Xenopus tropicalis: one gene and its partner. The protein of the gene in region 1 purifies or fractionates together with the protein of each later gene. This does not show direct contact. Links are inferred from orthologs where the notes say so. Each region holds a gene or a part of one and is shown on either strand. Other genes may lie near its edges.

Region 1 (3,122 bases):
GCCCCTTAGACTGCACACTGAATCAATACCTCCTTTATAGATGCCATATAAGACTACAGGAAATCATTTTGCATTTCATTTTTATTATTATAAAACCAATATAAAGGAGTAATAAATAAGTTATACCAGCTCAGTCATATGCCCTTCATCTTACAGATGAGAAAACAAAATATTTCCCTTAATTTAGGTAATATTATATTTGGTGTTTGCAGGTTTCAGAAACTTTGGTTAAAAGAAGGAGAAGACAAATTGATGAGACACCAGATGTTCGGACGTTGGCGGCTGTCAGAAGAGAAAGCTCTGAAGCTGTACTGGTAAGAAACCTTTTGGCCAGTCAGAGCTCGCTCCATGGCTAAGTGAGCAAGAGGCTCCAGGTTTAGGGTCCATTATTAGGGTTCATTATTTCTGATTGGGCAGAACATTAAAGAGCCTATTTAAAAGATTAATCCATTTGACAACTGTAATAAATATAGAAATGAAGATTGGGCCAATTGGCGCAATGATTAACCCCCCCCTCCCCTCAAAATTTTTAATATTGATGAATATGCCACTTAAGGTGATGTACCGTGGCCCGCCTGATATCCAAGTACTATCGGGCAAAATCAGGATTTGGCAGGTCTGAAAATTTCATCTGACAAATGTGAAGAGGAGGCGTGTCTTTTAACCTCCCCGATCTTCCAACTGTTTGTGTACCGACTGATCGCAACAACAGAGAGTCGACCATATCCTTCATGCATTCTCCGTCAGAGAGCATACTAGATCGGCCTATGCATGGCCACCTGTAGTATTCTGCCAAAGTGATTCCAAAAAGACCCAGACTGAATCCTGTATTCAAACCATTCTTATATTCAGTATCATACACATCAAGGTGACTCTTTGCCTTTTTCTAGAAATGTTCCGGAGGAGGAGCAACGTGTGTGCATTTTTCCTGTCCACTGAATGACATGCAGTCAAGAGCAACCATCAGTATGCGGGGAAGAGTTTGGAACAGCACCTTTCTAGAGGTGAAAAAGATTCTCAATCCAGTTACTATCCAACCTGCTGCTCTAGCAATAGTTTAAACTACTGGAATCTGAATGTTTCCCCTCTTTTAGAATTTGATGAGTCCAGTCTCCTCTGTTATTCTTTTACCCTCAAGAGGAGTTTGTTTGGAATGCTTGAGAGCACAGGCAGCACTGATACAATTATTTATAAGTGTTTTAATGTGCATCATTACTGTTTTTGTTTGTTACAATCTGGTCAGCTTAATATAGTACTTAAGAAATACAAACCTTGACTGATGTAAGCTGTTGGTGTAGGGTTTTTATGCCATTTTATAATTCACTTTTCAGTTTAGCTTAATTTCTGCTAACCTTACCTTCATCATCCCAACTTCCCCCTCAGGATTACAGAAATGTAGATCGAGTGTGGGTGATGGGAGGAGCTGAGCTGTACCTGAAAACTGATGTACCCACCATTAACATGAAGAGCCAGTTTGTGACGGTATGTAGAGAAATACAGACAAAAAAAATCTGTCAATTGTATGTTCAGCATCAGTGGCTAAGGACAAAACAAGAAGGGAAATGGGTGTATCTGGTTTGATAACTCTGATCGGTTGTTTGTATTTGTATGTTATTACTTTTGGCCATAATCCTTGGGATGGCTTTATATTGCATCCAGTGTTATTAGTAGGACATGTCCTTCTGAAATGGTTCTAAGTCTTGTAGAACATGCCATCTACAATTTCTGAGAGAGATGTTTGGGTTCCAGGTTGGGTTTCCATTAATTAGGAAATATATATATAAGCCAACTGTATTTGTTCTGCCTCCACTACTTTATATCTGCATCTGCATTGGGTCCTAAATTATCTACCTCTCCCATCCCAAAATGTTCTAATTTTTTTTTTATTCTTCTTCCCAGTTCTCTGTTTCCATAGACTCAGAACTTGAGGAGCCCCCACCAGCTGAGCTGCCACTCTGGTTGATCATTGTCTCGGTAGTTTCTGGAATTGTGCTCCTTGGTATAATTATCTTGCTTCTATGGAAGGTAAGTACCCAAGCCAAGCATCCTCCATCTAACTTTCGCGTCTCACCACCAGAAGCAGATATGTCCTGCATTTTAAAATGCACCTTTGACCTCACTATCTTTTTCTTGTAAGCTTTGATGAGGTGTTTGGTGAGAAATGTTGCATCTTTGCCTTTGATCCAGCTTATGATCAGGCAGCTATACTGTTGATTTTCCAATCTCTTACACTGTTTCAGATAGTAGTGTCTTGCAGTGCAAGCCCAGTATAACACAGTAGCCAGAAACTGACCATAGGCAGGACTACCTTGTTTGCTCAGTCGATTGAGGTTGAATTAATTTTCTCTTCCTTGATCTAACAATATCTCCTCTGAAAACTGAAGCTTTCACCTCTGCTAACCACAATCTCTGGCGTTTGGGTTCAACTTCTCCTGCTTTCGGATCACTTCTTTTTACTGCAGCAGCTACGTAATATAACTTAACAGAGCTCTAACTTCCAGTCTAATTTTTCTAAAATCTTCTTTGGGCTCTGGTTGGCCCCTGACCAATATCGTGCTTTTTAGTGTGGATTCTTCCGGAGGGCCAACACCCGCGCCATGTATGAGGTCAGAGGTCAAAAAGCTGAAATGAAGGTGCAGCCATCGGAGACAGAACGCTTAACCCAGGACAACTGAGTTCAACCTCTGACCCCTGACCCTCCCCCTCGGGTAACCAGGCTATGAGTGTCAACTCACAACTTTCCAGGACCCTTACTGAGTCACTTCTAGTTTTCTATCTAACTTTTTTACTAAGGCTGTTTACAGGCAAGCCAACTTGTTCAGCTCAAAACAAGTGTTCAGCAAATGGAAGTGTGGTACCAGAACTGAAAATATGGGTAACCAATACGCTTCAGCGATGTGTGTACAGAAGTATCATCCAACCTAGAACCCACTATTCTGTACAGTGAGGTGACCCATAGGCCTTTAGGCCATTTAATAAGATTGGTGCAGTCTGGCCATCCATTTGCGTGTCCATATTTTACTGATCTGGCTGATTGGTTGGCTTGCCATGTGTGCAGCCAGCAGCTGAAATAATTTTGTGTGTTTTTCTATATTCATACAGTTGTGCTCAGTCTAATATAA
Region 2 (3,931 bases), on another chromosome or scaffold:
CAAAATAACAAAATACAAATGCAATAAAGGCTAGCACTCACAGGACTTTGATAAGTATTTGTCAAAAATAAAAAAGTTTCACAAAACATTTTCCTTACATGGTTTTTATATATCCGACGTTTCAGTTCCTCACAGGAACTTTCTCCCTGAAGAAAGTTCATGTGAAGAACTGAAACGTTGGATAAATAAAAACCATGTAAGGAAAATGCTTTGTGAAACATTTTTATTTTTGACAAATACTTATCATTGCCTTTGAAAGAAAGGTGATGTGTGCCGACCACCTGCAGTCAGGCTGCCCCCCTACCACCCCGTCCCTGCTCCGTGATACTGACTGGGTATTCTGACTGCCCCAACAGGTAGCAGCCCTCAAAACTGAATTAACTTTTTGAAGTTGAAAAAAACTTGTTACAGTTAGGTCATAGATGATAGTTTGACACCCCCTCAGATCAGGTATATCGCTTGAAAAAGTAAGAACAAAAATATTATACTGTACTATATAATACTCAGTGCATCACAAATTGACAAAAGGTTGGCAAAACCCAAAAACCCCTTCACACCCATGGAGTTTGGAGGTACAACATAGATCCATAAGAGATGGAATGGATCTTTCCACGAATATGCCCACCTAACGTGGGCAATATAGGAGTAATCCGATTGTTTGGCCCTAGGGCCAGATATCAGTCAAATAGTGCAGTTGGGGGTCACCATACATGGGCAATTAGGGCCCTTTAAACTGATTTAGCAGCTTACCCGCCCATGTATGGGGACCCCCAACAGGCCTCCCCAACCTATATTTGGTCAACAATCGGGCAGATGCTGATCAGGCAGGCTTAATTTTTCTGTCGGATTGTGGAACACATCCGCTCATTGATGCAGTCCTCGCCCAGACTTTTGTATCCCCTTAATTGTAATTCAATTGTTTGGCCCTAGGGCAAAGTGATAACATTAGCACGATATCACCCTCCTAAAGCTGGCATATTGAGGGAAAGATGAGCGAATCTTACTCTTGGGCCATGCAGCGGCCTTTTTATGCATTACAGTATCTGCATCGGCCTTTTGGCTATATGATATGATAATGCAGTCAATATTTATTAATCATTATAATTTATATATAATTATATAATATATAATATATATAATATATTTATATATAATTATATAATAATAATAATTTATTAATCATGATATATAATGCTATATTGGGGAGGGGGGCTGTAATAGAGTAAGCAGATATTAAACTGCTAAGGGGCCTGGTATAGGGGTGAAGCACTGACTGTCACAATACATGTATAATAATAATAGTATAATAATGTCTTGATCATAAAGTTTAAAGGGGTTTTAACACGACTCTCTTGGTGCAATGTCACTTGTATATATCTCTTTAAAAAAAAGTAAAAGAAAGTGGGGTACTTTATTAAAAAACATTAAATATCTGGCTATTTGTCCAACACTGTAATTTTCGTTATAGAAATCAACTAGTAATTATCCAAACCTGATCAGTCAAAAGGCGAAAGAGCAGGAGAAGGGAAAGGTGGGGTAGAAGCCATGCCAGCAGTGTCCTGTAGGGGGCGCAAAATATAGCGTTATTAGCCAAGAGGTGTGGGCGTGGGTGTAGGACACTCCGAGTAAATCAGGATTTACACACCCTGCGCAGCTCTCTCTCTTCCACCGATCCAACAACTTCATCAAAGTTCGCCAGCCGGAAAGTGCCACCATGCCCGTCAAAGGGGGGATCAAGTGCATCAAATACCTTCTGTTTGCCTTCAACTTCATCTTCTGGGTGAGTTTCGGTCTGTAGGTTCTGCTGGGGGGACTCGGGTGTGGGAGAGTAGAAGGAGCCCTGGGCGGAAAGGCGTGTTTGGAGCTCGCAAAGGGATATAGTGCTGTAGCATTGCTGCCTGGGGCTCAGACTGGCTGTTAGTGATACATTTGTAACAGTATTAATGTTAGGGATTCGCTGTAGTACAGGTACACGTACAGTTATATATGGGCATAAGTATATACAGGTATAGGTTTATATGTGTATTGCTTGTAAAATCAGAAGAAAATGAGAAAATGCTTAAATATGGCTCAATGGGGGAAATATGATTTCCATATTTCAGAGTTTCTTGTTGTAAAGCTATGAGTTTTAATATTATCTTAGGTGGAGGGTGACTTTGGTGTTTGGGCAAGCTAATTAAAGACATTATGGCTAATGTCACACTAGGCTGTGTCTCTGCCTGCGTTTCTGTGCAGGCAGAGAAACAGCATAGTGTCACATAAGCCTTTCTACATGGTAGAACACATGGCAGGATAAATACAGTGCCAGTTCCCATATATATTACCCCAGAACACATGACAGGATAAATACAGTGCCATTTCCATATATATTACCCCAGAACACATGACAGGATACAGTGGCAGTTTTATTTCCCCCACAACACATGGCAGGATAAATACAATGCCAGCTCCATATATAATGCCCCAAAAATACATGGCGAATGTGGTGCCAACCTTGTGTATAATATCTCAATCCTATTTCTTGTAGTAAATGCGTTGGTGTTGGTTTGGGGAGGCTCAGGTTTCATTAAAATCTGCCCATCATTATTGTTAATGCATATTTATTAAGCCCTATCATATTTCCTAGGGCTGTACAGTAGGAGAGTGTACACATCAAACAACGTACAATGATCAGAGCTTATAATCTAAAATAAGACATACATGTGTATATCCGTATTCTTTTCTCTGTATAAACTGCTTAGTGGTGGATTGTGGAGGGTTAAACAGGATTGGGGAATGTTTACACTGAAAGCCTGCATGGGGTTTTGTAGGTTTTTTTTTGGTATAATAAATAACTCCTTCAGTGCTGGAGCAAATGCTTTTGGGCAGGGCAAGGTTCAGTGCCCCAGTGTTGACAAACAGCAGCAGCTTATATGGTGTAGCCCTGCTCGTGGTTTCAGTTCTGCAACAACTGAAGTATCTAAAGTTGTACTGTTACCTTAGGGTCACCACCATACACCAGATATGGCCCTAGTTATTATAGTCGTGCCTGACCACAAAAAATGCACTGTTATGGTATTAGAGTTGGCACCATACCCCTTTAAAACTGGACAGACAGTACCCATGCTGAATCGTGTATCAGCAATACATTTTCATGCGCAGAAACTGGTGCAGTCACAATGAGCTGTGAACTAACCATGAATTATATGGGTTTATATTGTGTCAGCTGGGATCCTACAGGAAAACATAGGTGTGGGGCTGCAGAATATGTGGGCATTATATTGATTCATTGAAATGTGATCCCATTATTAATTGATGCAAGGTGTTGGGGTGGAAGGTCCCTGCCCCTTTGGAGACAATCCATGCAACACCTGTGTAAATATTTGGCTTAAAGGCCCTGTTTTACTCTCCCAGATCAGCATTGAAGGCTATTTTTGCTACAGAGCTTGCTGTGTGCCAAGAGAAAGGCAGGAAGGATAGGGTTAAACATTAATATAAGTCACTCTTTTAGTGTGGTTTTTGGTATACCACCCCCCCCCCCCAACCCAACCTGCCAACTTCTCAGTTGCCTGTATGCACTGCACAGACAGAAAAAAACAGATGAAAGTCAGCTTAGGAGTGGCAGGGAATAGGTTAAACTGTTTTAGGCGCCCCATATTCTGATCCCTGGTTGCTGGCTCCCAGGGTGCTTAGAATTTGTCAACAAGTGGGACAGCGCTGAACCTTTAGAACATAATTGCCTGATAGACTATAAATGTATTTTCGGTTGTGCTTAATTACTTGGTTCATTGTTCCCTGTTAGCCCTAAAGTATTCAATGCCTTATGTACCCCAGGAGGGTTAAAGGCCCCACCTCCCGACATGTCCCATTATCATTATTTCATCTGGAAGAGTTAGTGGTGGATGCAGAGCAGGAAGGACAAGGAGCTGGTATAGGGTTGCCATCTTTTCTG

Evidence for each region.
Region 2: the proteins of itga3 (region 1) and cd9 purify together in Homo sapiens (affinity purification with western blotting; 3 studies listed by BioGRID and IntAct, with this or other methods). This does not show direct contact. The link is inferred for Xenopus tropicalis from reciprocal best matches to the Homo sapiens genes ITGA3 and CD9.

What each region holds. Positions count from the first base shown.
Region 1 is NC_030686.2:14,721,306-14,724,427, forward strand, and holds part of itga3 (integrin alpha-3), read left to right. Parts: intron 1-212; coding exon 213-314; intron 315-890; coding exon 891-1,004; intron 1,005-1,383; coding exon 1,384-1,482; intron 1,483-1,899; coding exon 1,900-2,025; intron 2,026-2,564; coding exon 2,565-2,675; 3' UTR 2,676-2,708; intron 2,709-3,122.
Region 2 is NC_030679.2:18,570,499-18,574,429, reverse strand, and holds the start of cd9 (CD9 antigen), read left to right. Parts: upstream 1-1,666; 5' UTR 1,667-1,714; coding exon 1,715-1,780; intron 1,781-3,931. UniProt on the Homo sapiens protein: Integral membrane protein associated with integrins, which regulates different processes, such as sperm-egg fusion, platelet activation and aggregation, and cell adhesion.